Saccharomyces cerevisiae S288C: one gene and its partners. The gene in region 3 interacts genetically with the main gene of each other region. Each region holds a gene or a part of one and is shown on either strand. Other genes may lie near its edges. The genes, in order: ALD6, INA17, GEP3 and ALT1.

What was found.
Region 1: mutations in GEP3 (region 3) and ALD6 together harm fitness more than expected from each alone (negative genetic interaction), as found in Saccharomyces cerevisiae (2 studies listed by BioGRID).
Region 2: mutations in GEP3 (region 3) and INA17 together harm fitness more than expected from each alone (negative genetic interaction), as found in Saccharomyces cerevisiae (2 studies listed by BioGRID).
Region 4: mutations in GEP3 (region 3) and ALT1 together harm fitness less than expected from each alone (positive genetic interaction), as found in Saccharomyces cerevisiae (2 studies listed by BioGRID).

The regions. Positions count from the first base shown.
Region 1 is NC_001148.4:428,959-436,889, reverse strand, and holds ALD6 (aldehyde dehydrogenase (NADP(+)) ALD6), read right to left. Parts: upstream 4,303-7,931; coding exon 2,800-4,302; downstream 1-2,799. Other genes in the region: MFM1 (Mfm1p), read right to left, coding at 1,126-2,367; YPL062W (uncharacterized protein), read right to left, coding at 4,591-4,995; protein translocase subunit TIM50, read right to left, coding at 5,521-6,951; putative peptidylprolyl isomerase CWC27, read left to right, coding at 7,274-7,931.
Region 2 is NC_001148.4:363,020-370,148, forward strand, and holds INA17 (Ina17p), read right to left. Parts: upstream 1,050-7,129; coding exon 501-1,049; downstream 1-500. Other genes in the region: ATG21 (Atg21p), read left to right, coding at 1-343; MGR2 (Mgr2p), read right to left, coding at 1,367-1,708; tyrosine--tRNA ligase MSY1, read left to right, coding at 1,933-3,411; ERI1 (Eri1p), read right to left, coding at 3,510-3,716; PNG1 (peptide-N4-(N-acetyl-beta-glucosaminyl)asparagine amidase), read left to right, coding at 3,908-4,999; EEB1 (medium-chain fatty acid ethyl ester synthase/esterase), read right to left, coding at 5,052-6,422; Sec63 complex subunit SEC62, read right to left, coding at 6,820-7,129. UniProt on the Saccharomyces cerevisiae protein: Component of the INA complex (INAC) that promotes the biogenesis of mitochondrial F(1)F(0)-ATP synthase. INAC facilitates the assembly of the peripheral stalk and promotes the assembly of the catalytic F(1)-domain with the membrane-embedded F(0)-domain.
Region 3 is NC_001147.6:725,064-733,118, forward strand, and holds GEP3 (Gep3p), read right to left. Parts: upstream 2,172-8,055; coding exon 501-2,171; downstream 1-500. Other genes in the region: mRNA-binding ribosome synthesis protein NOC2, read left to right, coding at 2,449-4,581; DNA-directed RNA polymerase III core subunit RET1, read right to left, coding at 4,945-8,055. UniProt on the Saccharomyces cerevisiae protein: Interacts genetically with prohibitins and thus may be involved in the mitochondrial lipid metabolism.
Region 4 is NC_001144.5:315,340-323,773, forward strand, and holds ALT1 (alanine transaminase ALT1), read right to left. Parts: upstream 4,677-8,434; coding exon 2,898-4,676; downstream 1-2,897. Other genes in the region: CSF1 (Csf1p), read right to left, coding at 1-392; GPI-anchor transamidase subunit GAA1, read left to right, coding at 768-2,612; XDJ1 (Xdj1p), read left to right, coding at 5,362-6,741; GEP5 (Gep5p), read left to right, coding at 6,958-7,839; SUL2 (sulfate permease), read left to right, coding at 8,205-8,434. UniProt on the Saccharomyces cerevisiae protein: Alanine aminotransferase involved in both alanine biosynthesis and utilization. Under respiratory conditions, constitutes the sole pathway for alanine biosynthesis and catabolism.

The DNA of each region.
Region 1 (7,931 bases), on a different chromosome or scaffold from region 3:
TTGATAATAAATTTGCTCATGTCATGGCCCACAAGTTTTTATCCCACAATGAAACATTTTATTATAGCTAAATACGTCATTCTAAACTTAAGAAACCATCTCTATGTGTGAAACGCATGAATTATATAAAATAACTACTGAAATATCTTTGTTACTGATGAGAAATAGATGAATCGTAGATAACTGTGAGGATTCCGTTGTTGTTAAAGACTATAATATCAGGTATACAGAAAATGTTAGAAGTTCTCTTCGAGAATATAGAAATCGACAAAAGGGGTCGGCAGTTTTACATAAATAATTTATGGAATAAATTCAACTATCGTCTATCAACTAGTAGTCATACTACCAGTATATTATCACATACAGTGTAAGAAGATAACATAAGGGATGAGAAACTGTCATCGAAGTTCGAGTAAGTTGAAATTCAACGATTAATGCAACGATTGATAATATAGCAGGATAATGAAACATATAAAACGGAAGGAGGAATAATAGTAATATTATTTGTAGAAAAATCGATTCCCCTTTGAAAATTTCTATATCCTCGAGGAGAACTTCTAGTATATTCTATATACCTAATATTATTGCCTTTATCAACAATTAAATCTCAACAATTATCTCAAAATTCATCAATTTCTCAATGATATCATTTTTTCTTCCTTCTTTTTATACTTTGTGATTCATTATCCTATTATATAATCAATCCTTTCATTTCACTTTCATTAAACTTGATGACTGTTTCTCAATCCTTATCTCATCTTCTTACACCGTATATGATAATATACTGCTAATATTTCTAGTAGTCAGCATGATATTTGATTTTCACCAATCAACCACAAGTCCTGACAGGAAGTTATTATTTAACCACATTACTGTTGCGTGGATAAGTGTTATTATTCTATTGCCTTAAAACTATACAACAAAAGCTCGTATGGCGCAGTGGTAGCGCAGCAGATTGCAAATCTGTTGGTCCTTAGTTCGATCCTGAGTGCGAGCTTTCTTTTTTTCCAAAGAATTTTAATTATATACGTTCGCCTGTACGGCTTTTTATATACTTAAAAAAGTGAAAGTTGTTCTTATTCATTTGAATGCGTATTAAAAAGATTGATTGACTCTTCGTGATAACTATTTCTTCAACAGTTCGTGAACGGAATCTGTTTTTATTTTACTCAATAATGTCATACGTTGTAATTTATGCAAATGTCTGATTCCCTTCGCATAGAGCCAAACAGTAGATATTAACCCCAAAATGGTGACAGTTAAATACGCATAATTACTTTCTTCTATGAAACTTTCCAGATTCATACCATAGATAGAACCCAGGAATAGAGCGCCTCCCAACGAAAGCATTCCTATGGCGTATCTTATCCCTAACAGCATTAATTCGTTTCTGTTAGAATCTAGGATTATATTGATGATTTCTTCTGTGGTTTTCACGTCAGATATGGCGCTTTCGCTTTTCTGAACTATTTCATCGACATAGTTATGATATGTTTCCAGAAGCATTTCAATTTCAGTATGATCATCTTGAACTCTAATTTTTCCAGCCTTTTTGTCGGTTAAGTACATATCACAAAGCATATCGTCTTGCTCTAGCAAGTCATCCAGCATATCTTTAACTAGAACAGCCTTTTTATTGAAGCTGCTCAATTTTTTGTTTTGACCCAGTAAGAACCTTAATTTATCTCTTGTTATACTAAATTCTAGATCTTGAAGCACCCCCTTGCATATGGTTAGCAACACCTTCATTTCACTGGTAAGGTTAGATAATGCCGAAATGAAGATCGTTTCTAAAGCTCTGAATTCATAAGGAAGTGGATCGCTATTTAGCTCGCTTGTTTCTTGATTTTTTAGTCTCAATTTCATATCGTTAATAAAATCCTTGTGAGCTTCTGAGTTTAAAGTTATTCCACTGCCGGCTGAATCGAAGATAATAACCATATCAGGCTTAATTAGGGCTTTCACAGTAAGTAAACTGATTAGTATGGAATTTTCTCGCACGAGCAAACTAGGGACTAAGTCATTCTTCCTTGATTTTTCAATTTTACGTAGATCTCTGGGCAACAAGCCATGTTTTGATACTAGATCCTCACGTTTTATCTCTACTAATGGTGATTTGGCTCGTCCAGTTGAGTCTAGCAAAGTACATCGTATTGTCCCTGATCCATACCCATAGAGCATGTTGTTTCTTTGGATCAAGTTTTTCTGTAGTAGCATTGCAGCGGTATTGTCAGGGTCCACCTTAGGCATTTGCCTAGAGAAATCAAAAGAAGAAAGTGATGAACCAAAAAGCCTTACTGTTCGAAGAAGGATGTTATTATATGATCTCTGATGGCGAAATGGCAGTACTCGGGGGAATGCTCTCATGTGTACCTTTTGATTGGAATTGGTTCGCAGTGTTTATGTTATATTAGCTCAATGTGCTCCCTGTATTTTATATATGAAACAAGTCTTTGTATTGCTATTTTTTTCAAACCTTTTTCTCAACTCTAAAAGCGGTCCACGTTAGTTTTCTTTGGATATAGCAGTTGTTGTACACTAGCTTAAGATGTAAAATTCAATTCAATATGATTTTGTGTGGGATGTTTTAAAGAAGGCACAAGCCTGTTCTCTCTTTTTCTCTTTTTTCATGGATTGTATCGCTTAAAAGGGAGAAATGAAGTAAACGATTCTTTTTGTAAAAATATAAAACCAAATTTTTTAATTTATATGTATACATATTTATTTATGACGTAAGACCAAGTAAGTTTATATGAAAGTATTTTGTGTATATGACGGAAAGAAATGCAGGTTGGTACATTACAACTTAATTCTGACAGCTTTTACTTCAGTGTATGCATGGTAGACTTCTTCACCCATTTCTCTACCGTAACCAGATTGCTTAACACCACCGAATGGAACTCTGGAGTCAAAATCGTTGTATGTGTTGATCCAGACGGTACCGGCCTTCAACATCTTGGCCACCTTCAAACCTGTGCTCAAAGATTCTGTTTCGATACCAGAACCTAGACCGAATTCAGAGCTGTTAGCCATTTCGACACCTTCTTCTAAAGTCTTGAACTTTGCGACAGTGACAACTGGTCCAAAAATTTCTTCCTTAACAATTCTCATGTCTTCATTAACATCGTAGAAAACGGTTGGTCTGATGAAGTAACCCTTGTCACCAACTTTTTCGCCACCAGTTAAGATCTTGGCGCCTTCTTTCTTACCGATATCGATGTAGTTCATAATTGTGTCGAATTGTTGACGGTTAGTGATAGCACCTTGGAAGTTAGCCTTGTCAAATGGATTACCAACTTTGATTTCGGTTTCCAAGTAAGCCTTGAAAGCAGCCAATAGTTCGTCGTAAATACCTTCTTGAACGTAAATTCTAGAACCAGAGGAACAAATTTGACCAGCGTTCTTGAAAATACCGTTTACTAGATTTGGTAAAGTCTTCTTAATGTTAGCATCGTCAAAGACCAAATGGGCGGACTTACCACCTAGTTCCAAAGTGATTTTCTTCAAGTTAGATTCAGAAGAGTCGACAGCAACACTCTTACCGACTTCTGTAGAACCGGTAAAAGCCAGCTTTCTGATTCTTGGGTCGTTGGTCAAAGCAGCACCAACAGTTCTACCAGGACCTGGAACGATGTTGACGACACCAGCTGGAATACCAACCTTCTTACATAAAGAAGCAAAGTATAGGGCATTTAAAGGTGTGACAGCAGCGGGTTTCAAGATACAGACGTTACCCATGGCCAATGCTGGGGCGATCTTCCAAGCCAACATCATTATTGGAAAGTTCCATGGAATAATTTGACCACAGACACCGATTGGCTCTAAGGTGGTGAAGTTCATGTAGCCGTCACCGGTGTTGATTGTTCTACCGTTGACTTTGTCGGCATAGGCAGCAGCATCTCTTAGACAGTTGATTGCAATGGTAACATCCCCACGGGCTAAGGCCAAAGTTTTACCATTGTCCAAAGCTTCAATGGAAGAAACCAAGTCAATTTGGCTTTCCAATTCGTCAGCCAACTTACTTAGTAGACGGCCTCTTTCTCTTGGGTCTTGGGTAGCCCATTCAGTGTCGTGGAAAGCACGGTCGGCACATTCGATAGCATATTCAACATCTTCAGTGGTGGCAGAAGAGACCTCACAAACGGTGTTTTCAGTGGAAGGATCTTCGACGGGATAGGTCTTACCGTCTTGAGCTTTCATAAACTTGTTGTTAATGAATAGACCGGTTGGTTGCTCGTATGTCAAACCATTTGGAAGTGTGATCTTGACTGGTTCAGCAGTGTCAAAGTGTAGCTTAGTCATTGTATTCTGATAGTATGTGTTTGTGTATGTTAAAGATGTTTCTTGATGTTTTTTCTTCTATAAAACAAGAGAAGTAAAAGACTGAACACTTCGAATTGAATATTACCAAACTTCTTATTACATTTATATATGATATCAAGAACTTGTTAAACACGCCAGGCTTGACCTCGAACGGTGTTTTGATGTGTTACTCAACCGTTAAATCGCTGTTTGAGCTGACTAACAAGGTTGCTTGTCTTGAATCCCCCTCACCCCGAATTTATTACGAATTTGCCCACATGGTCGGTGCTATATCGCATTCGTTGCACTCACCGTTCCCAAGAGGAGATCAATGTTACATACGTTCCCGATGCCCAAAACGGTAAAGTTAAAGCGATATAGAAGCTGGATGCATATCTTTTTACACGTCCGCGGCGCGCCCACCCTCTTTTTTCTTTCTGGTTCCTTTTCGGTCGTTTTTCTTTTGTCGGCTGCCTTATTCCCGTGGGGATGAGGCGAGCGCCGTTTCGGCTTGGATACGCCATATGCAACAATGACGTCTCGGTGCTGGCCATGCCCCTCATTTATGTCGAAAAACAGGCCACTGCCCCTCTTTTCTGCGGCCCGGGCAAGAGGAGACCTCATCAGCCACGGCGACGTGCTGGTTGCTTCTACAATGGTATCTTCACCTTTTACATAATCCAATTCTATCATGCCCTTACGTGAGGGGCAGTGTCGTATGTGACGGCAGTTCCTGACCTGATAGTGTGTCTATTTGTCTGTTAGCGTCCGCGGAAAGTTGTGAGTACGGTTTTTAGTTTAGTTTCCACCCGGGATTATACTTTTGGCTACCCTGACTGGAAGGCGGCGGCCTTATATTCGAATGAACATGCCAGGCATTGTACGAATTGAAACTTTTTTCGTATGACGTTACGAATAATTCCATTCGGCCTAAATATTCTTTTTTTTTGGATTTTTATGCTAGTGAAGGAATATGAGATATGCAAAGCGCATCAGATCATTAGGTGTGTCTACATCGTTAAAATTTAACATAGAAAAAATAAATAGGCGTGTTTGTACGTAGTATGGTGATGTTAGGAGGTGCAGTGGTAGTAAGTTAGCAATATACATAAGTTTTATTCACATGACAGTAACAAAATGAGGGTGTGGGGAGTGTACAGGTACATTTACATACACACATAGATACGTAGATACATGAGAAGAGGGTTTACATGAAAATTATTTGGATTCAGCAATCTTCTTCTTTTTCTTTTCCTCTTCAAATAAGGCGTCTACCTCCTTCTGCTTCTCCAATTGTATTTTCATTTGTTCTTCTGGCGAAGGCAAGTTACCTTCAACATAGTCTTTCAGCGTAAATGTTTGCCCGCCCATTTGCTCCTGCTGTATTCTAATTTTTTCCTTTTCTTCCTCAATCATCTTCATGAACATTAAATAGTTCTTTTGTCCTTCTTCATGAATCAAATCGAGCGGGAACTTGGTGCTGCCGCCCAGGGAATTTCCGAGACCTAGTGCCGTCATTGCCCAGTTGCCACCAGATTTATGATCTCCGTAAAATTTATCCTTCAATTTTTTCACACGATGATCAAATTCTTCTGCTAGGTTCTTCTTGTCTTCAAAGCTGTTCAAGATTGGTCTAACATCCTTGGTTTGTTGAGTGGCAAGGTACTCCAAAAATGGAATCAATCTTACTAATTTGTCATCAGCTTCACCATTCCATGGCTCCATTGGAATAGCATTTTCAGGTTGCAATTTGTAACTGTTAGGGTCAGTGTCAATAATGATTACTTTACTCAAATCTCTATTCAATTTTGACAGATCCTTAATGTGCACACCGTCTTTGTAAACACAGTGTTCCTTGAACAAATTATAAGATACGAATGCATGGATTGGATCTAATTTTTCAGCGATTTTGTCAGAGTACATCATATAGTTGGATGAAAACAAAACAATTTCGTAATACTGCGATAGGTAACCCAAGAAGTAGTCAGCACCAGGTCTTTTGGCCGTTCTCCAACCATGCTTTTGAGACCACTCAGAATGAACCAAAAAATCTTCCAATGTGATAACAAGAGTTAATGGCCTTTGGTACGGTGGTGGTGGTGGTGGAGGTAGTAAATCAGGGAAAGGTGGCTCTTGGAAGTAGGTGAACATTGAGTTGAACCTGGCCTTGAATCTTTTATACATAAGTGATAAAGTGTAGCCATTATCGATGTCTTTCTTCAATTCTTCAGACTCTTGAGGCTCCCAATCCCTTGCCATGTAGATTGCAGTACCTGTCAACGCAGACAACGAAAAAATGTAAAACCAGTTAGCATACTTTTCTCTTTTAATATCTGTAGAAGTTTGTCTTTTTCTTCTAGATTTTTCACTTTTGGAAGAAGGTTCATTCTTGTCCTCTCCTCCTTCTCCTGATGTTTCCTCGTTTTTGCCTTGGCCCTTCTCATCGACGTCAACACCGGCCTTGAACAGCATATCATCTGTAAGAATGGATTTAGGCTTGTCGTCTTTTGTTTCTTTTTGTAAAAAACTTGAATAACTTGTTAAAAGTCTTCTGGATGCTTGAACCGATGTTAAGGTGTTGGCGGCAGATGGCACAACCCTAAGAGCCCTTGAATTTAGTCTCACCGAATTTCTTAAAATGGACAGCATTGCAAGCGGGTGATTTTTGGAAGTTTATTCTAGCTGTGATGTGCTAAAGCAAAAAATCAGTTATGCGCCAAAAGCTAATCACGAAATTGAGTGGATGCTAGAAATTACCGTTCCGATTAATCCTGACGTTATGTTCGTTTGCTGAATATATCTCACTTTACTGAAAGAACTTCCAATTTTTTTTTTTTCCTTTTCCGCTGTAAAGCGTCTGAAGAGAAAAAAAGGTTCAAAATGTCCTGAGAATAATTTATTGAATAATTTATTATTCAAAGCGTATTACAGGAAACATGTATGATGAGTTTTAAACCAAAGTAAGAATGCTATGTCCAGTAATATAGAACCTCAGACAACAGCTAAATGTATACTGTATACAACAAAGGGGAACATTGCCATTGAATTATGGGCTAAAGAATGCCCTGAGACATGTAAGAGGTTCTTATCTATGCTCTCAGATGGCACATTCACCAATGGAGAATTTAAAGAGTTAAAGCCAACACAGTGGCTAATGTTTAATGCAAATAGTACTGGTGAGTACCGTACAGTTGCTGAGGAAAAAAATCCTCGTATACGCTTCAATAGAGATGGACTCTTGGGATGGGATAGACGAAGGAACACATGGTTTATAACTGTGCTGGCGGATTCTAAGCACGTACTGAACGATTGTAATGTATTTGGCAAAATTGTTGGGAAATCTATTTACATCTTTAGAGAGATCTTGGGCGGCGAAATTGAAGCTTCCTCCCGTGACAATGATGTCAAACGATTCATGTATCCTGCAGTTTTGAAGGATGTTGAGATTACCATACCATTCTTTGAGGACATCTTTGGATCAAAAAGAAGACTGGAAGATAATGAAAAAAAAGAACAAGAGCCGGCAAAGAAACTTGTGAAATCAGCAAAAGTAAAGATGGTTTATGAAGATGAGCAAGAGGATGATGATGGTGATGTTCAAAAGCTTAAGCCAAGAAAGAGAATGATTC
Region 2 (7,129 bases), on a different chromosome or scaffold from region 3:
CCTCCCTGGAGATAATTCTAGCAATGGCCACTGGAATGAAGAGGAATATATACTAGCATCAAATTCAAATCCCAGTATGGGAACTCCAAAGGAAATACCTCTCTCGAAACCAAGAATTGCGAATTACTTCTCGAAAAAAATAAAATCTTCAATACCAAACCAGAACCTGAGCCGTAACTTTGCTTATATAACAGTTAATGAATCGAACAGGAGTTGCTTAGGGTTTCCAGACGAATTTCCCAACCAAGTCTATATTGCCTCTGATGATGGAACCTTCAGTATATATAGTATTCCGTCAAAACCTGGTGAATGTGTGCTGACTAAAAATAATAAATTTACATAATGCATATGTGCAGTTTTCATAATCTTAATAGATATTGTACGTATTCACGTGTGAATTGCTAAAGAGGGTAGAAATCTTCAAAACAAGCAATTTGAAAATATTTACATAGGCAATGGTACATTCTAGAAACACGAAAAGCCAACAAGATAACTAATTCTCACCAAAACCATCTCCTATACCAAGGCTTCATATGTGTTGATTCATTACTGCCCTTTCCCCTACTAGTATTGTGGGTTTTATCCTGTACAATTAACTCATTTAATTGGTGTTCCAGGATTTCTACCTCTTTCTTTAGCTGACTTTCTCTCTCCTCATGCTCTAGTTTCCACCAAGAGAAGTGAAGCAGTAAATAAACGGAAGATCCCATTAGAATGAACATCCAAAGAGGCCTAATAAATCTTTTTACAGGGATCTCATGTCCTGATTCTTCCTCTTGCGAGAATTTTTTGAGCATATCTAACTCCTTTTTGATATTTAATTTTGTAGTATGCTCATTAATCAAATCGCGTATCAGTTCAGTATCAACACCATCCAAAGAATCCAAATTAGCCAAGTCTTCTAGGCTCTTGATTTCTTTCTTCGGTGACGTTGAAACAGCTCTTCGTTGTTGGTTGAGGAGGCGCCTGTGGTAATAGGCAACGGTTGTTATGGGAAACAATTTAGTTCTACTCAAAGTAATGAGAGCATTAGAGCGTCTTTTTAACATATTGTCTATTATATGCTTTGGTTCCCATTTCCTTTCTCAAAGTTTACAAATATAACAGAGTGCTTAGCGAATACTTTATTTTATGAGTCTTGCCGTTAGTGACCCCACCCAAAATAAGATGCAAACCGGTATACATATTAGACATTTCCCACGTATACAAATATATTAAGTAAATAAGCCTCGTCGTGATGAACTTAAATACATGGTATTGAGAGAGTTATAAACAGGTAGATAGATATCTTAAATAAAAATAAGCAGATAAGTAACAATGTTTAAGAAAACGATGGGGAAGCGTAAATATATGCAAAATTTCCCCCTCAGTCCTTACGTATACCGTATTTGGCACGAAGCTTCCACATTTCCAGTCTTGCCTGTTGCTGTAGGTTCAGGTTAGGATGGGACATTGGACTACTTTCACTATCACTTCTGATTATAGACCCGATGGACATAAATAGCCCAAAGGTACCCGCTGAACCAGCAATGTATTTCCCTAGTGTTCTAACTACACCATCAGGACCTGGGCCTTGAGTTGCGATGGCAAATCCACCAAATAGGATGCCTGTGCAGACACCGACGGTAGTACCCATCATCAACCCCATTTTGAATTTGTCCCAATTCGAAGGCTGCTGTTGCGCATAATTTTGTGGAAGAGGAGGCATTATATCTTAATATTGGACTTGAAGCTGTTGCGCTATTTGTGCTATATGATCTTGTGTGGTGTTCTGTGCTTCCTTCTTATGGAAAAGTAGTGGAGTCTGTTTGGTAATGTTGGTCTTGTTCGGGAGTTTTGAAAAGAAAATAAAAAGTGGTTGGCTCATAATGTTAAGAAAGAATTTCCAGTTTCCGATTGAACACAGCAATCTACAGGTAGACATTGTGAATCATGCTCGAATTACGAAGTTGTAGTAATTTGGTCAATAGTAGTAGGAGACTTGTGCCTCTGGTGACTTATTCCGGACTAAGTGCAATAACATTGCCTAAATCTCGATTTTATTCACAGCCTAGTGCTTTAGAAGTACAGGGCACATCGGATTCTCGAAGCGATAATATTTTAGACGAACTCAAACAAAGGGGTCTAGTGTCCCAGGTCTCACAGCCAGAGAGTTTCCTTCGGACGAAGTTGAACGGTAACGATAAGATCAAATTATACTGCGGGGTGGATCCCACAGCTCAGTCACTTCATTTGGGAAATCTAGTTCCACTAATGGTTTTATTACACTTTTACGTAAAAGGTCACGACATTGTCACTGTGATAGGTGGAGCTACAGGGAAAGTTGGGGACCCAAGTGGTAGGAAAACAGAAAGAGACGTTATGGAGAACGATATTAGGCAAAGCAATGTGGCATCCATCTCGCAGCAATTACAAAGGTTTTTCAAAAATGGCCTAGAATATTACAGAAACCGATGTGCTCTCACTGAAGATGTACCTTCCGGAAAATATACACCAAGGAATAATTTCAACTGGTGGAAAGACATCAAAATGTTGGATTTCTTAGCTGATTTTGGTAGGCACATTCGGGTACAATCTATGTTGGCGAGGGATTCAATTTCTTCGAGGCTTCAAACCAAAAATGGTCTGGGATTTAACGAATTTACTTACCAAGTTTTACAAGCGTACGATTTTTACCATTTGTATAAGGAAGAGAATGTGACTATACAAGTAGGTGGTAACGACCAATGGGGAAATATAACAGCCGGTATCGATCTCATCAATAGGATACAGCCTATAAAGAATAAGGGTTTGCCATTTGGTATCACTGTGCCCTTGTTGACGACGGCTACAGGAGAGAAATTTGGGAAAAGTGCAGGCAATGCTGTTTTTATTGACCCCTCAATCAATACGGCGTATGATGTTTACCAGTTCTTTTATAATACTTTGGATGCTGATGTACCCAAGTTCTTGAAGATCTTTACGTTTTTAAACTCAAGTGAAATCAAAAAAATTGTGGAAACGCATATCAAATCACCCAGTCTACGTTATGGCCAAACTTTATTGGCTAAAGAAGTCACAGATATGTTATATGGAGTTGGCTCCGGATCGGATTCAGAAGCGCTTTCTAATATTATTTTTGGACGTTATGACGGAACTTTATCTGCTGCGAAGTTAGTTGATCTATGTAAAAAAGCCAGAATTTTGCAGTATGCTGATAGAGAGATTGACTTAATAAAGTTAATTTGTAAACTAGTAAATTGTTCAGTATCAGAAGCCAGAAGAAAACTTTCCCAGGGAAGCGTGTATCTGCATCATTCAAAATCTAAAGTAAACGAAAATATTTCTAACTTGGCTCCTTTCCTGATAGATGATCGAGTACTGATCTTGAGGATAGGAAAGCAGAAGTGTTTTATAATAGAAATGCGTTAAAAAAAAGGGAGGTATATAAAGTACATGTATAAAATAGGCATGCGTGAGGTGATATTATATCATTTTATGCACTGACTTGTAAATAAGATTATAAACGATTATTCATCTTTACTACTTGCGAACATTTCACTGTCACACCAGGCTATGAGGGCCCACAGCCAGAGAGTCGCAGGGCATAGCAGTAATACACACCAGTAGTGCAGGAAAGAGTCATTGTTGCGTAACCAGTAAAATGTAGCAAGACTAATTAGGAGTACCGAGTAAGTAAACCCTAAAACCAAAAAGCCTTGGTCACGTGGTCTCATGCGCTTATAAATTCTCAATCATGTAATTGAAACAGTCCTGTTGCCTAGTTTCAACTGTTCTATGCTTCTTGATGTTTTCGAAACTTTGCGTAGTGTAATCTTCCTTGTATTGTAGCGAAGAAAAAAGGATGCGTTGGGAACAGATATAGAAGACGTAAAACAACCTGAAGAAGGTAACAGGTGGAGTAGCAATGGGAGAGGTATACGAAAAAAATAACATAGATTTTGATTCAATAGCCAAAATGTTGTTAATTAAGTATAAGGATTTCATACTGTCTAAATTCAAGAAAGCTGCACCTGTAGAGAATATAAGGTTTCAGAATTTAGTCCATACAAATCAATTCGCACAAGGAGTCCTAGGTCAGAGTCAACATCTCTGTACAGTCTATGACAATCCTTCATGGCATTCTATAGTCCTGGAGACATTGGATCTGGATCTAATATATAAAAATGTTGATAAGGAATTTGCCAAAGATGGGCATGCAGAGGGGGAAAATATATACACGGATTATCTAGTAAAGGAGCTGCTTCGCTACTTCAAACAAGATTTTTTCAAATGGTGCAATAAACCAGATTGTAATCATTGTGGCCAGAACACTTCAGAAAATATGACACCTCTGGGCAGTCAAGGGCCCAATGGAGAGGAATCTAAATTCAATTGCGGAACTGTTGAGATCTATAAATGCAACCGATGCGGAAATATCACTAGATTTCCTCGTTATAACGATCCAATTAAGTTGCTGGAAACTAGAAAGGGAAGATGCGGTGAATGGTGCAATTTATTTACTTTGATTTTGAAGTCGTTTGGGTTAGATGTTCGCTACGTCTGGAATAGAGAAGATCATGTTTGGTGTGAATATTTTTCAAATTTTTTGAATAGGTGGGTTCATGTCGACTCCTGTGAGCAATCATTCGACCAACCATATATCTATTCAATTAACTGGAACAAGAAAATGAGTTACTGTATTGCGTTCGGTAAAGATGGCGTTGTTGACGTTAGTAAACGCTATATCCTCCAAAACGAGCTGCCCAGAGATCAAATCAAGGAAGAAGATTTAAAATTCCTTTGTCAATTTATAACGAAGAGGTTGAGGTATTCGTTAAATGATGACGAGATATACCAACTTGCATGTCGCGATGAGCAGGAACAGATAGAGCTGATTAGAGGAAAGACACAAGAAACGAAATCCGAAAGCGTCAGTGCCGCTTCGAAATCATCTAATCGTGGTAGAGAAAGTGGATCGGCGGATTGGAAAGCACAGCGTGGGGAGGATGGTAAATAGAGAAATAAAAGAACAGATTATTATGTGTAAGGAATTTTATCTAAGAACATATTTATAAAACTAACTCATCAAAGCTGCCCAAGAACTCGGCAGCTTGCTTTGTTAACCAGGAATTACTTTCATTGTCGAGATAAGCCAAATGTCCACCCAAGTCAGTCTCGCATAACAACACACAAGGATTTTCTCTAGCTTGTTTGTACGGAATTACGTTTTCACCTGTAACTGGATCATCCGTTGCGTTGATTATTAAAGTTGGGATTTTGATATTAGGCAATCTATTTATCGAACTGGCCTTTCTATAATATGTTAACCCGTCCGGCAGGCCCATCGATGGGGCAGTGAAAAGATTATCGAATTCTAATATGTCTGTAAATTTTTCAGCCTTTTCCAAATTTTCTCTGGTATACGTATAAAAGACTGGTTTCTCAACTGTCGGTTTGTGCGAAACCTCAAAATTCTCTGGTACCTGCAACTCATTCATATTAACCTTGACAGTCCTTGTTAGAAATTGTGTTAAAGTTCTAGAAAAAATATGGTTGGACCACCAATCATGAGCCAACTTGTCCCAAGTGTGTACGAAATCCCATGGGTTTGAGAGAGCGACTGCAGCATTTAATGGACAGTTATCTCCTTCTTCACCTAAGTAGTTCGTTAGCATGGCTGCTCCAAATGATGTTCCGACTGCATATATTTTTCTTTGCGGAAATAGAGCTTTTTGGTGGTTCAAAAATTCTCTCACATCACCTGTGTGTAATGCGGTAAAGATTCTACGGGTGGTGACTTTAGATCTTGAGCAACCTCTAGCATTAAGGACTACCACTTGGAATTTACCGTCACCGACTTTTGATAGATCTTCAGATAATGCCCTGATGAGAGGCTCATGGCTTCCCCCTGCAAGACCATGAAGTACTACCACTAAAGGGTAAGAATAACCCTTAGAATGACATTTTTCAAGTTCCTCAGAGGATAGATATCTAGTTCTCGGGTGAAGACGAGGCCAACCCTTTGGATGGGTGGCCTTTTCATCGTTCGAAAATTGTTTCTCGTTAAAACTAGCCTTTTCAGCATTTAATGAATATGTTTGCTCCCATTCAGGCATAACCCAATCTGCAGTGCAGACCCCTCCATCAGAAAATTTTATAATCTCTCTTCCATAAAATACCTGAAATTTTTTGGAAAAATCACCGGCTGACAAATAAAGGGTCTGTAAGTAACCTGTGAAAAGCAAGCTGTTTAACCTAAAATTTGCACCATCTTTGAGTGTAGGCACGTGTTTGGTTACGAATTCATGAAGAGGAATTTGGCGCTTAGAATCTCTGAAAGCCAAAGACTTGGTTCCTTTCTCTCCCAGTACATGTTTGACGGTGCCGTTATAGCCCCAATGGCTAGGAGTGACAGTTGGATAGTAACCCGAGCGAAACATTAAAATGACAAATATGAAAATACTTGATATCTTGATCTTTTTGCTAATCTTCAAAAATACCGAAAACTAAGTAGGCAACCAGATGCAGAACCCTTCTTATATAATCGATTCCTGTAAGCAAGTGTCAGCAAATAGCTTCTATATAGAGACCTTTCGGTGAAAGTATATTAAAGCCGGCCGGAAATTGAGTAATAATAACCGCTAATTATGCGGTGTGTGGATTCAGATTTTTGCCAGGAGCGATAACCTTCAAATCTAAAACTACTCACTATAAGCGATGAAGCAACCAGATGGTAGCGCTTTGGTGCCGGTTCTCTTGAAGGTTTGTACATGTGCGAGTTCATGAGGTTACAATATAGAAGGTTTATACAGTAGAGCTATACAGGATAATGGAAGTTCAGTTTTGTTCGGCTTTTTCATTGATGGCTTTCTTCTTATTGCTTTCTCTCTTGGCTTGTTTCTTCTTCATTCTTTTCAGTTTCTTTTTGTAACTATAAGTATCCTTCTCACCAAAACCGTAAAGTGGCTTAAAACTCTCTAGTACACCGCAATCTTCGAACAGGTTGGGAAAGATCCAGAACCCACCAACATCTTTGTAGACAATTAATGACAAAACATATAATATCAATCTCAGGATAGCGACAGCAAAGAAGCCTGCTAAGATGCCGAAGGCACCCAGAGACACATAATAGGAGCCGCGTCTCATG
Region 3 (8,055 bases):
AGTGAAAAGATGAAGGAATTATTATCTACTTTTACTATATTTTCCACTATTTTTGCTTAATTGCTTTAACCGATCTATTCATTGGACTGATTATTTACATTATCTTTTATTTCCACTTCCACTTTTTCAGTTTTCTTCGAATAGAGACTTTATTTTGAACAGTTTTTTCGACCTTTTTTGTTTGTTATTGTTTCTTTTTACCTTACGAAAATATTCTTACTGTTCACAGTACCATTGTATAATAGTATTCATTTCCTTCCTACATTTTCTCTCCCTTTTTTGAGTTGAGGCCTTTTTATTGACTCGCCTTATACTCTACTTTATTTGTGTTTTGTAGATAGAATAAACATCAACAGTATAATTCATAATACTTTCTATTGCTTATTTCCTGTATATTCGTTTTTGAATATACTTTGTTCCCAACTTTCTTTTTAGTTTACTTACATTCATATTTACATGTGCGTTACTACTTATTGGTGCAACCAAGTGAACAGCGAGTCTTACCATTGGTAGTACCAATAGGGATTCTTTTTTTTTTCTAGGTGTTGAACCAAATCATAAGGATCATCGTCGACAAATCTTCTAGCAGATAAATCTTTCTCGGTTTTTTCTAAATACGACTTCTTCACTGCGTTCAAAGTATCAGCTTCATCCGGGGCCATCTCATACAGGGAACTGATGATCGGTCTATCTCTGGGACAGCTTGACTCTTTACCATTTGTTTCAATGTAACGCTGGTAGCCAGACTCAATCAAGTTTTCTAGCGGTTCCCTTATACCTACTTGGATACCCCTAGGTATCCATATCTCATGTAGTCCTTTGAACTCATACCTCCCAGTTGTCCTTAATAAAATATATCCTATATCTTTCAGAACGATCTCTATACTTCCAATAAATGGAGGTATTGCGTACCTTTTGTACTGGCTTTTTTCGCATATAACGCTTTTAATTCCACAATACCGTGATAACGGATGTGTGCCAGATGATGAATTGCACGAGTTGAATACATCAATACCTTTTTCAATGTTCTTGAATGTTTTTGATGGTCCTGGTATGTATTTCACAATCTGATTTATGGATCCTTTCGGAGGTACCAGGTAGAAAATCCCTCCCACGGTATAACAGCCTCCCTGTGATGTGCCCTTCATAGACTCATAAGTCTTCTGTTTTATATGCTTCCGATTGAATAAATCGGTTTTTCGCAGCCTTTGAAGCCAACGCTCGTCGATTAGTTCTTCTAGGCGTAATCTGGAGGTGGAAGTTGAATAGCCTGGAAGATCAAAAAGTATTTTACCTCCAACTTGGTAGGCTTGTACGGATCTAGTTAAATTGGGAATATGTGATACACCAGCAGCTTGAATCTTGAAAAAATTCTTCGGGTTCGTAAAAGCTTCTTGCATCACTTCTTCAGAGGGGGAGTTAATTTTCCCAGTAGAATCAATTTTAACCTTATATCCAAGATATTTCTGTAGTAGAGTATTGATCAAAGTTGATTTACCAACATTAGGGTTGCCTAGCAAATATGTGTAGTTTTTAAAGTAGTTGTAAAACATGGATATGTTCCAGTTTTTCAGCGCAGATATGGCGAATGTTTTATTTGAGTCAATTCTTAAAGTGTTCTTTAAAAATTGCTTCATGAATATAGGAACCTTTTTGCTGACAGCATTTTTATCTTTAAAAACTTGATCGCTTTTCGTTAACACTAATGTAGTATCTAAATCATTTCGTTTCAAAACATTGGGGTCTAAATGTAAGGGAAATTCTACAAAGGGGACAATATGCATAACATTTGAGCCTCTGGGGACGTAGTTCAGAATATCATTTAATGTGCTTTCGGGAAACTCTTCCGGGTTATAATTGTTATGATGAAGGGCATTACTGCACCTTTTGCAAATCACTCTCAATAGTAAATCTCTTTTGGTTTTGAGGTCAGGATCATTTTGAGTTGCCTGTTTCGAGAGCTGTATGTCTTGACTGAATAGCAAATACTTCAGATCTTGGAGGTCAGGATTTAGTTTTGAGTCGGGTAGACTTTTTGGCTTCGTATAATATCCTGGTTTACTAGGATCCTGATCCTGTAGTTTTATGGAACATGACGCACATTTCACTTTCACAATCACAGAACAGGAAAACTGACGTACGCCTCGAAGAGCATGACACAGATTCAACATTCCCGCATATTGAATTGTTCAAAGTAATTAGACGTGTTACTAGGAAGGTCCTTCGTTAATATTGCTCTGTTAAATGTATCTTGACCCATAACATCAAATAGTAGTTATCATCTTCGACGAGTTTTGAAAAATTTTCTGAATTTTTTCTTCCGATGAGATGAGCATGATATTTACAGAGAAAATAGAGAAACAGAATACTTGTACATGGGTAAATTCATTTATACTAATTTTTGAATTGTAAGAGAGATAGAGAAGGTCAACAATAGAATAAGTGGAGATGGGTAAAGTTTCTAAATCGACCAAGAAGTTTCAATCGAAGCATTTGAAGCATACTCTAGACCAAAGAAGAAAGGAAAAGATCCAAAAGAAGAGAATCCAAGGCCGTCGTGGCAACAAAACTGATCAGGAAAAGGCCGATGCTGCTGGTACTAGGGAACAACAGCAGTTGAAAAAATCTGCAAAGGAAGAGGTTTTTAAGGACATGTCTGTCGAAACTTTTTTTGAAAAGGGCATCGAAATTCCAAAAGAGAATAAAAAATTGAAGAAAAAAACTACGAAAGAGCAATCTGATGAAGATTCCTCCTCTTCCGAAGAGGAGGAAGACATGGGACAAAGCATGGCAAAGTTGGCCGAAAAGGATCCCGAATTTTATAAGTATTTGGAGGAAAATGATAAAGATTTATTGGACTTCGCAGGTACCAATCCATTGGATGGAATTGATAGTCAAGATGAAGGTGAAGATGCTGAAAGAAACAGTAATATTGAAGAAAAATCTGAACAAATGGAGCTGGAAAAGGAAAAAATTGAGCTTTCTTTGAAATTGGTTAGGAAATGGAAAAAACAACTTCATGATTCTCCAAGCTTAAAATTACTAAGGAACATAATCAGTGCTTTCAAGGTTGCTGTAAATTTGAACAAGGAAGAAAACATCGAAGACTATAAATATGCTATCACTGATGAGAAAGCATTCCACGAATTGATGTTCATGGTCTTGAAAGATGTACCACAAGCGATTCAAAAGATGGCCCCATACAAGATTGTAAAAGGCGCAAGGACCTTACCAAATGGAGGTAACGTCTCCAGGGTCTCGTCCATTGTCAAGTCGCATGCTGGCTCTTTGTTGATTTTATTGAATGATATTACTAATACGGAAACAGCAGCATTAGTTCTTCATTCTGTCAACGAATTGATGCCTTATCTTTTATCATACAGAAGGATCTTAAAGGAGCTTATTAAATCAATTGTTGGAGTATGGTCTACAACGAGAGAATTAGAAACCCAGATTGCTTCTTTTGCCTTTTTGATCAATACCACCAAAGAGTTCAAGAAGTCTATGCTAGAAACAACCTTAAAAACAACGTACTCCACTTTTATCAAAAGTTGTCGTAAAACGAATATGCGTTCTATGCCACTGATTAATTTTCAAAAAAATTCGGCAGCTGAATTGTTCGGTATCGATGAAGTTCTAGGTTACCAAGTTGGATTTGAGTATATTAGGCAATTGGCAATTCATTTAAGAAATACAATGAACGCGACAACTAAAAAATCCAGTAAAATTAATTCCGCAGAAGCTTACAAGATTGTATACAACTGGCAATTCTGTCACTCCTTGGATTTCTGGTCTCGTGTACTATCGTTTGCTTGTCAACCAGAAAAGGAAAATGGCAGTGAATCTCCTTTACGACAATTAATTTACCCATTGGTTCAGGTTACTTTGGGTGTAATCAGATTAATCCCAACACCACAATTCTTCCCATTAAGATTTTATTTGATTAAATCACTTATTAGACTTTCTCAAAATAGTGGTGTTTTTATTCCAATATATCCTTTACTTTCTGAAATTTTAACCTCAACGGCTTTCACTAAGGCACCCAAAAAGAGCCCTAACTTGGCTGCTTTCGATTTTGAGCACAACATCAAATGTACGCAAGCTTATCTGAATACAAAAATATACCAAGAGGGTTTGTCAGAACAGTTTGTGGACTTATTGGGCGATTATTTTGCTCTGTACTGTAAAAACATTGCATTTCCTGAACTTGTAACACCGGTTATTATCTCTTTACGCCGTTACATCAAGACTTCAACTAATGTCAAACTTAACAAACGTTTATCAACTGTTGTAGAAAAATTGAACCAAAACAGCACATTCATCCAAGAAAAGAGATCAGATGTTGAATTTGGGCCAACAAACAAATCTGAAGTTTCAAGATTTTTGAATGATGTAGCTTGGAATAAAACACCTTTAGGTTCTTATGTTGCAGTACAACGTGAAGTTAAGGAAGAAAAGGCCAGATTAATGAGAGAAAGTATGGAAGAACAAGACAAAGAAAGAGAAACAGAAGAAGCAAAATTATTAAACAGTCTGGAAAGTGATGATGACAACGAAGATGTTGAAATGTCAGACGCTTAACAACTCAGCAAGATTTGATTTTTTGTCTTGAATTCAATAGTTAAGTCTATAAATGTGTAAAATAAAGAAAAGTCTTTTTTAAAGCGTATATATCATTGTGCTCACATGTGCTAACATGTGAGCACTCCAAGCTTTCTCTTGTCAGCTGGATATTTTTATATTTTGGCCGGTTTATGGATAGAAAACACGTCAAACGTTCGATGGATCTTATAAAAAGTAATGATGTAAAGCAAGGTACAAAAATGAAAGAAGTACGGTTTACTGTTATATAATTTTCGAAATCGTTCAACTCTCTTAAAGTTCCTCACGAAATAGATATGATTGCTAACATAACGCAAAATTTAGTACAAGATATATGATTTCTTACTGCTGGAAGATATCTTCCAATCTTAATCTTGGGGCTATGTTCATGGATAATAATTCCTGGAATAACAGTTTTGCTGCATATGGAATAGTCATCTTAATAATATTCTCAGCACTTTTGCAGGTAGTACACCAACCACTATAGCCCATTAATCCACATTTATCGCAGACATCAACTTCAAAAGCATCTGAACTAATCATCAACCTTTCTAACAGCAATTGTGAAGCACCATACGCGATTACACAATCCCTCTCCATCTCACCCAACCTCAGACCACCATCTCTAGATCTACCCTCAGTTGGTTGACGTGTCAAAACAGCCCTTGGACCACGAGCTCTTGCATGCATCTTATCTAAGACCATATGCTTTAACTTTTGATAGTAAATGGGGCCAAAAAAGATGTAAGCCTGTAAACACTCACCTGTTATACCTGAATATAACATATCCTTACCGGAATAGTTGAAACCTTGGTCTACCAAAATCTTAGACATATCTTCAAGTTTAGAACCACCAAAACAAGTACCATATTCCAATGTACCATTCAATACACCAGCTTTACCCGATATCAGTTCGATCATTTTACCCACAGTCATACGAGATGGAAAACCGTGAGGGTTCATGATAATGTCTGGAACTATACCTTGATCGTTGAAGGGCATGTCTTCTTGCTTTACAATAATACCACAAACACCTTTTTGACCATGTCTAGAAGAAAATTTGTCACCTAATTCTGGCCTTCTGTTTTGTCTTAGCAAAACTTTGATTAAAGCTTGATCGTTATCCGAAACAGACATCATAACTTGGTCAATGTGAGAAGGTTCTGGACCTCTATATATTACCGGAGCTTCCCTATATTGAGTTTGGACGTTTACGTTGTTTGGGTTTGGGGCGTCTGCTGAGTTAGTTGGAACTGACTTATTTATATAAATTTGTCCACTTTGGACCTTCATACCCACCTCACCTAGACCATCAGGACCAAGAGATTGATGTTGCCAGATAGGATCTCCATTTTCATCAACTCTCATACCACCGATGATATCTTGGGTATGGTTCGCATATCTTTTCAAAACAGTGGTTGTCTTTCTACGTGTTTCGCAACGGCCGAAACCTCTATCGATGGATGACTTATTCAAAACCAAAGCATCTTCAATATCATAACCAGAATAGGACATGACAGCAACCGTAGCATTTTGACCAGCAGGTAATTTATCATAATCGATCAATTCAATTGTTTTGGTTTTCACCATTGGCTGTTGTGGATAAGTCATCAAGTATAATAATGTATCTATTCTCTTGAATTGATTGTAGGCGATTGCACCAATCGCTTGCTTACCCATCGCACATTGATATGTGTTACGAGGGGATTGGTTATGATGTGGATATGGAATTAAACCAGCAACAGCACCTAAAATTGTGAATGGCTCGATTTCTAAATGTGTCATCGAGGGAACTATATCTTTTTCATACAATGCAATGTAAGAATCGTTTTCTTCATTGACATCTAAATATTCCACCAATCCGAGTTTCAAAAAATCATCGAAATCTAACTCACCATCTAATAATTTGCGTAAATGAATATCTTTCACGCGAGATTGACCATCAGAAACAATGATTAATGGCCTACAAATTCTACCACCATCTGTTGCAATATGAACTGCCATTTGGTGAGAATTTGAATAAATTGAGATAAACTCCGACACTTTACCTGTTCTTCTCAGATGTCTGAACTGAGTAACGAATTTTGTTGGGAATCTGATTGAACCAATTAAAGTACCATTCAAATAAACACCATAGTTTAAATGCAAGGATGCACTGTCAATCAATGTTATGTCTTCTACACCAAGAACATAACATAATTTCTTTATAGGTTCCTCTTCGTCATCTGTAGTAATATGAGTCATTAATGCTAAATTTTTCACTAGACCACACGCCTCACCTTCTGGAGTATCTGCAGTACAAAGCATACCAAATTGAGAAGGTTGTAATGCTCTTGGACCGGAAACTTTTCTTGATTTTTCAAACTGAGAAGAAATTCTTGTCATCATACCCAATGCGGAAATATAAGATAGTCTGGAAAGAACATGTGTAACACCCGCTCTTTCCATCTTAAATCTTTTAAGAGACCAATTACCGGTTGAGATAGCTCTGTTCAGTCCGCTGGTGATGTTATTTGAATGGACGTTAATTGACAATAATGCATCGTATTCCATAGCCCTATTTGGTTTTTTCAAGACCTTATCAATGCTTAGTTTAAAATCATTATTAAACTTTTTGAACAAATCTTCGAACAATAAAGAAATCAATTGGCCTGCTAATTCAAGACGTTTATTACCAACATAATCTCTATCATCAATCATCTTAGGGTTATACATTGCCATCACCACCCTGCGCGTCATCATGGCAATATATAAAGCCTTTTCTCTAAAGTCAAGGGCTTCCACAGTCAAATGTGCAATAACCGTGGTAGCAATGGCCTCTATACCCTCTTGCAGGATAGTCAGTTTTTGCCTTCTCATTGTCTTTACTTTTGCACCAATATACTCTAAAGCTTGCTGTTGTGTGTAAATATCTAATTTCGAAGATTCTTCCAAATTGACTGCAAAAATATCTTGGTAGCTACTATCATTACCGCAAACCAATTGCATAATTTCTAAATCTGATAAAATACCACAGGCTTTGAGAACAATAGCAATAGGAATTTCTTCAGCGATGGAATTGTGCTTCAAATAGATCTTGCCATTTTTGGTAATGACATAAGTCTTAGATTTTCTTTCATGGGTAGATGAAGTAACGGAGGCCTGAACAATGCCTTTCTTCTCATCTGCCTCCACAATAATACGATTCTTGGATAATTGTTCTTGAACAAGAATTACTTTTTCGGTACCGTTAACAATAAAGTAACCACCAGGATCCAACGGACACTCGTTTAATTTAGCCATTTTCGATTCATCAGCATCATATAGGATACATTTATTAGATCTCAGCATGATCGGCATCCTACCAATTTCCACGTCTTTATGCATAATAATGTTTCTACCTCTAGTGTATTCTATATCCACGTAGATTGGTGCAGAGTATGTCATATCTCTAAGCCTACACTCATGAGGCGG
Region 4 (8,434 bases), on a different chromosome or scaffold from region 3:
ATTTTACAGGGAAGCTTTGCTTTTTTGCCAGAAGAAGACTTGTTATTCTCTATCAATTCTGCTTTTCTGCAATTTAAAAGCCAGTATTTCCATGTTAAACTACCCTCTAATACCGAAATTGTATAATCTTTGTGTATTACGGAAAGGTTTTTAAAATGTATTCGACCACCTAGTAAGGAGACACGAAGTGTCTCAACATTTATCTTGATTTTCGCTCGTTTCCATAGTAGCCATTCTAATATAAAACTTACAAGGTATGCATAGATTCTTCCCATGTAGAATATCATTGTCAAACATACTACTACCGTGAGAATCCAATCTACTAAAAAGACCCAGCTAAAGTCCTTTTGGTGTGTCAATGGAACACCACGTAATTGTGAAATAGCTTCCATGCTTGCTAACTTATTACCGTCAATAGAAGACTTGAGTCAGGTGGCTTTAATGAGTACTATTCTTTTTTTTTTTCCAAAGAGCACTATGTTGATAATACCGCAGTAATTTTTTTTGAGTATCCTGTAGCCTAGAAAGGTTGAAGCTTATAAAACCGTGCCAACAGCTTTATAGTGGGGAGTTTGGCTTCCCTCTATTTGTATATTGATCGCCATCCCTACGAAGTTATTGGGAACGCATCGTGAACCTCTCACTTTAATGCCAGCGGTAGAAAAAAAAGTCATAAACAATACACGCCGGCTACACTTAGAAAGAAATGACATTTGCTGTCTTATAAAAGGACTTGACAGACCAAAGACGCGTATAATACACCAAGAATGGCCTTATTGGAGAAGTTGCATCGAAGGATTGTTGATATGGGGCTTGTCCCGCGTATAATCGCCTTATTACCAGTTATTTCCATGCTATGCGCTCTATTTGGGTTTATTTCTATAGCTATTCTGCCTATGGATGGACAGTACAGAAGAACATACATTTCTGAGAATGCATTGATGCCTTCACAAGCGTATAGTTACTTTAGAGAATCTGAATGGAACATTTTGAGGGGCTATCGATCTCAAATTAAAGAAATGGTAAACATGACTTCTATGGAAAGAAACAATTTGATGGGTTCTTGGTTACAAGAATTTGGTACTAAGACTGCTATTTACGAAAATGAACAATATGGAGAAACATTGTACGGTGTAATGCACGCTCCTAGGGGTGATGGAACAGAAGCGATGGTGCTTGCCGTTCCATGGTTTAATTCAGATGATGAATTCAATATTGGCGGCGCAGCTTTGGGTGTATCTTTAGCAAGATTTTTCTCACGTTGGCCAGTATGGTCCAAGAATATAATTGTTGTCTTCAGCGAAAATCCTCGTGCAGCATTAAGATCATGGGTTGAGGCATACCATACTTCCTTAGATTTGACTGGTGGTTCCATTGAAGCTGCTGTTGTGTTGGATTATTCGAGTACGGAAGATTTCTTCGAGTATGTAGAAATCTCATACGACGGTCTGAATGGTGAGCTGCCCAATTTGGATCTTGTCAACATCGCTATATCCATTACGGAACATGAAGGTATGAAAGTTTCTTTGCACGGTCTACCCAGTGATCAGTTAACTAATAATAATTTCTGGTCAAGATTAAAAATATTATGCCTGGGAATAAGGGATTGGGCGTTGTCCGGTGTTAAAAAGCCCCATGGTAACGAGGCATTTAGCGGCTGGAGGATTCAATCTGTAACATTGAAAGCACATGGAAACAGTGGTCATGATATTACTACATTTGGACGTATACCCGAAGCAATGTTTCGCTCTATTAATAACCTTTTGGAAAAATTTCACCAATCGTTCTTCTTTTATTTGTTATTAGCACCACGTCAGTTCGTATCCATTAGTAGTTATTTGCCAAGCGCTGTGGCTTTATCTATAGCATTCGCCATAAGTTCATTAAATGCATTTATAAACAATGCTTATGCAAATATATCCTTATTTTCCGAGTATAATTTGGTAGCGTTGTTGGTTTGGTTCGTGTCATTGGTGATATCATTTGTTGTTTCACAAGCGTTTCTTCTAATACCTTCATCGGGATTATTGATGACAATTAGCATGGCATCTTGTTTTTTACCTTTGATACTTTCCAGAAAAATTCACATCTCAGAACCACTATCATACAGGTTGAAAAATGTTGCTTTTTTATATTTCAGTTTGGTTTCAACATCTTTGCTAATGATAAACTTTGCAATGGCTTTACTGATCGGCACATTGGCATTTCCTATGACATTTGTGAAGACCATTGTTGAAAGTTCTAGCGAACATGAGGTGACAACTCAATCCTCTAACCCAATAAAAACTGAGCCGAAAGATGAGATAGAGCTCGTCGAGAATCACATGGATACAACGCCAGCAACCCCCCAACAACAGAAACAAAAACTAAAAAATTTAGTACTATTAATTTTGACAAATCCATTTATTTCAATAACCTTATTCGGACTATTTTTTGATGATGAATTTCATGGATTTGATATAATAAACAAACTGGTTTCAGCATGGTTGGATTTGAAATGTTGGAGTTGGTTTGTACTTTGTATAGGTTGGCTTCCATGTTGGCTATTGATATTAGCGTCATCGTTTGAATCTAAATCTGTCGTAGTAAGGTCGAAAGAAAAGCAAAGTTAGGTGCCATTGGTAAGAAGTAAAGGATTAACGGGTGTTCGAACTACGCAATTGATTTTATACGCACAAACATTACAAATCGAAGCAAAAGAAGATGAAATGATATGATATACTGATACAAATATGTATTAAATAAAACATAAGTATTGATGGAAACATGGCATAGAGAAGCGAAGATGCGATAATATCAAATAACTATATGTGAGTTGTGGAAGAAAGAAACGATCACATTATTATAATAAACTAGCTATTTAAATGTTTATTGAAGACTGTTCTGCCCCCTTTTATTCAGTCACGGTATTGGTCAAAAAATTCTTTATGGAAACTTTCCCATTTCTTAATCCATTCCAGACCAGGTGCCAAAAATGTTGTTCTTAAATGGTAAGTACCAGGTTCTTGACCAAACCCAGAACCGGGAACAGTGCAAATGCCAGTAGATTCTAACAACTTCTTACAATAAAATTCATCCGGAGTTAACTCTAAGTGGCGAGCTTCTTGAACTGCCTTGAAAGGTAAGTCTATCTTAGGGAATAAATACATGGCACCTTGAGGCTTTTGACATTCAATGCCTTCTAAAGAGTTAAATGTCTCATACAGTGTCATTGCTCTTGTAATTAACTTTTCATGGATGGAGTTACGTTCTGCTTGGTCCGACTCGAATGATTCCTCCCCTTCCACTGGTGGACGAACCATCAAATCAACCAAAGCTTGACCTGTGACAACGGGACACAATGAAATCGAGGCTAGTTTCAAGATAACTTGTCTCATCTCATGGCTGAATCCAGTGAGTTCCATGTAGCCACCCCTTTGACCACATTCACCAGAAACACCCTTAGAAGTCGAATGCAAAGAAGCTAGCTGAACATTATCGAATTTACCTGGATGTTCCCTCTGTAAATGTCTCAAAATTTTCTTCATAGAATGGAACTTGGTGCCCGGGAAGATATTTTCTTGATAAACTTCGTCAGCTATCACTACTGTACCGTACTTGGCTGCGACTTCAAAAATCTGAGCTATAGACTCAGGTGATAGGACAGCTCCTGTAGGATTACCTGGATTGATAACCACTAGAACTGTAGGTTTGATTTCGTTCTGTATAGCCTCTTTGACGACAGTTTCAATTTCTTCTGGATTAGTTGACCAACCTGAATTCTCATCTAAATAGTATGGTAAAGCTTGAGAATTGTTCAAAGCTAGAGTAGCGGTATATAATGGATATTGAGGAATTGGAATCAAGACACCCGTTTCTGGCCCTCTACAGAAAATTGATAACAAGTAATTGACAGCTGCGGATGCACCAGCAGTTAGGAAAATATCCTCTGGGTATGATATCTCGCCTTCGTCCCTCTTCGTTATAAATTCAGCGACACTTTTCCTTATACCTTCTACACCTTGAGAAGAAGAGTAAGCACCAACAGAACCACCGATATCTTCCATTAAACTCTTTGCACGTTTAATGGCATCTAGTTTAAACAATTTCGAATCAACTAGCTGCTGTTCGTTTTGGTTTAATAGTTCTGGGTATTGTAAGAGAGACAAGACCTGTCTGTAGTAAGTCAGAGGTTTCTGTTGTAGTTGCTGAGGATTACCAATATTGGCGTTGATAATCCTGTCAAATGGCAGAGATTGAGGATCCTTCTCCAGTTGAGCTTTCAATTCTTCAGCTCTCATTGGGATGGCACCTCTAACGGCGTACTTAGCCTTCAAGACATTTTCATTTACGTCTTCCAAAGTCAATTGTTCGGCGGGATAAAACTCGTTATTCGAAGTTTTCAACGTGTGGTGTGGAAAGCGATTCAAATGACGCAGGTCGTTTAGCGAAGATTGACCAGATAATGAACGTCTATGATTTTGAGCAACAATCCAGGAAGAGCTATGTCTCTGTAGGACGGGTCTAACTTTCCTGAAAGCTTTTAACTTTGTACTACTGGCTGAGGTAGAAAAAGGAGTAGTGATATGTGGCATTTTTTCTGCGCTTGAAGTGAGAGTCCTTATATGATATGACTTAATAACGTGAGTTATAGAATTACTCACTGTGAAGTGATTTTTGGCAGACAGTGATAACATCGTGGAGAGAGCAAAATAAAGACTGGGGAAATATATTTATATGCGTTCAATTGAGAAGCAGAAACAATTAAATGCGGGGGAGAAACAAAGAAGCTGGTCCTGTTCTCGAGCAACGTGTGACTAGTATGAACAACTAGAGTAAAATAGCGAGAAAGCAGTAGTAGTAACGGAAGAGCTTTTCCTAGTATGGTCCGCGGGTCACGATCGTTTACAAAGGGCGCAGCAAACTCTAAATACGTCAACCACAGCAGGTCAGAAGAGTACGTGAAGTTGTCTCAACGAAAGGTCGAAAATCGTTAGGCTTGGACCCCTTCAGAATGAAAAAAAAAAAAGACGCAAGAGTGAAAAAAAAACCAGTACTGTAAAAGCAGAAAACGTCTAATGGGAAGTGCTACTATGTAAGATTATATCATGAATGTGCTGTGTATTATATATGGATTATATAGCCACGAATATGCGGTAAATAAACATATGCATATATGTGTGTGGGGCAGCGCTCTGCTGTGCAATCCTTGTTTCTTTGTTTCTTGGGTCGGGATTTGAGTAGCGACGAGCCATCCTCTGCAGAAGGGAAGAAGAAAGAAAGGCAGAGAGGCAAAGAAAGAGTCAGGCTTATCTTATCTTAAGAGATATGCCGCTTGGACCCAAAAGAAAGGGAAAAGTAAGTACGCAGGTGTAGTTTTGAATGAGTGGCAGTGATAGAGGAGACCGGTTATACGATGTGTTGGGGGTGACGAGAGATGCGACCGTGCAAGAGATTAAAACTGCTTACAGAAAGCTTGCCCTGAAACATCATCCGGACAAGTATGTGGATCAAGACTCAAAGGAGGTAAATGAAATCAAATTCAAAGAGATCACTGCCGCTTACGAGATCTTGAGCGATCCGGAGAAGAAATCACATTACGACTTGTATGGTGATGATAATGGTGCCGCTAGCAGCGGTGGCGCTAATGGCTTTGGAGATGAAGATTTTATGAACTTCTTTAACAATTTCTTCAATAATGGAAGTCACGATGGAAATAATTTCCCTGGCGAGTATGATGCGTACGAAGAGGGCAACTCTACAAGCTCTAAGGATATCGATATCGATATATCTCTTACTTTGAAGGATTTGTACATGGGCAAGAAGCTGAAGTTTGATTTAAAGAGACAGGTCATCTGTATAAAGTGCCACGGTTCTGGCTGGAAACCAAAGAGGAAAATTCACGTTACACACGATGTGGAATGTGAATCATGCGCTGGAAAGGGTTCAAAGGAACGTCTGAAGAGGTTTGGTCCCGGTTTGGTAGCTTCGCAATGGGTGGTCTGTGAGAAATGTAATGGTAAGGGGAAGTACACTAAAAGACCCAAGAATCCAAAGAACTTTTGCCCCGATTGCGCAGGCTTGGGGCTCCTGTCAAAGAAGGAAATCATCACAGTGAACGTGGCTCCGGGACACCACTTTAACGACGTAATTACAGTCAAGGGGATGGCGGACGAGGAAATCGATAAGACCACATGTGGTGATTTAAAGTTCCATCTCACTGAAAAACAAGAAAACTTGGAGCAGAAGCAAATCTTTTTGAAGAACTTTGACGACGGCGCCGGGGAAGATTTGTATACAAGCATTACCATATCGTTAAGCGAGGCCTTGACGGGATTTGAGAAATTTTTGACAAAAACCTTCGACGACAGGTTACTAACATTGAGCGTTAAACCTGGCAGAGTAGTAAGACCTGGTGACACCATCAAAATCGCCAATGAAGGTTGGCCCATTTTAGATAACCCTCATGGCCGGTGCGGCGATCTGTATGTTTTCGTTCATATTGAATTTCCACCAGATAACTGGTTCAATGAAAAATCAGAACTACTAGCAATAAAAACGAATCTGCCGTCATCTTCATCTTGTGCCTCACATGCGACTGTAAATACTGAAGATGACAGCAACCTGACTAACAACGAAACTATATCAAATTTCCGGATCATTCACACGGACGATCTTCCAGAAGGGATAAGGCCGTTCAAGCCAGAAGCACAGGATTCAGCGCATCAGAAAGCAAGAAGTTCGTACTGCTGTATCCAATGATGGCATCAATAACTTTTTATTCTATTTTTTTTTTTTTTTCATAAGTTATCCTACCTGTATATATGTATATATATGAAATTCATTTACTGAATGCGGTGAAGAATGAAGTCTTTCGCACCTTCAGTAGAAAAATAGGAAGAATCCCCATCGCGGCGGACATAAAGCAAGCATACAAAGGCCTTCTATCAGAACAGCGATTGCGAACTTGGAGCAACAATGGCGTCCCAGGTTAACGCCTTATTACTGCCGGTCATAGAGTCTACGCCGCTTCATCAAATAACCAAGGTAGCATTGACGACCACACTCACAAGTAAACAAAGCGATTACAAGTTCAAAGAAATAGCCGTGCCGTTAACAAAATCACTACAACTGTACGAGAAGGCGCAAAGAAGACAAGATTTAAGGGCAAGCTTAAAAGCACTGGAGAGTATCATTTACCAAACGCACTTCCAATGGAATAACCCGCTCCCACGACATGCGCATCTCTTCCAAAAACACTACCACTTTCTACTGACTCACTGGCCATTTGAGAACCACAGAGACTTGGTAGATTCCATCGCTGTAAACAATGGGAAACTAAATTCAACGTCTTCAAGGAGCGTCTGGCTGAAGGCGGATTGGATAACACTGTTTAACGTTAAAAACCCTTGGGTCCAAACGCCGCCATCGTTAATGCGTCTGAGTGGGACAGATCTTGATACCTTCACACCAGAGAGGATATTCCTGATAAATTCTCTTGGAAACCACTACAAATTTTTAATAGCGAACAGTCATCTAAGCTACAATCACAAAAAATACCCCTCCCCTGGCGTGCAAATTCCTGTCAGGAACGCTCTTGGCGAAGTTTCTCCGGCCAAACAAATTGCCCAACTTTTCGCAAGACAGCTGTCTCATATTTACAAGAGCCTCTTCATAGAAAACCCCCCGCTCTCTCCTGAGAACGAGCTGGCATTGACTGCCGTCTTCTATGACGAGACTGTAGAGCGACGCCTTAGAAGGCTCTATATGCGAGCTTGTGCAAGGGCATATACGACTACTAATGCCGACTCCACCACGGAGCCTTTGATGTTTCATTGCACCCGGTGGGAAGTTGATTAGTTGTTGTTGGCTGTTATACTGGAGTAAATGTCACGTGCCACTGTGGCCGTGTCAGGTCACGTGAAGAGAGAAATTCGGCCACAGTTGTGGTCCTAAACAAGGACTGAAAAAGATCGCAGAAACTAGCAACGTCGGATAGCGGTATGGTTGAACCAAAGTCCAGTTTTTAGTCATAGCCGGTTGAGGGATGATCTGCCGTTCAGTGTTCTGCGTTCAATAATACGCATATATATATATATCAAGGTATCAACACAATACTTGAACAGGTTAGGCTCGTACTAAAGCCTGGAAGTTTTTATCTTTCTGTAACATTTTTCTTTCTTGAGGTGTGTGTGTGTATAGATTAGCAGGGAATTATCTAAGATATGTCCAGGGAAGGTTATCCAAACTTTGAAGAGGTAGAAATTCCTGACTTTCAGGAAACTAACAACACCGTTCCAGATCTTGATGATTTAGAATTAGAGTATGACCAATATAAAAATAATGAAAATAATGACACGTTTAATGATAAGGACTTAGAGAGCAATTCTGTAGCAAAGCACAACGCAGTGAACAGCTCAAAGGGCGTAAAAGGCTCGAAGATTGACTACTTTAA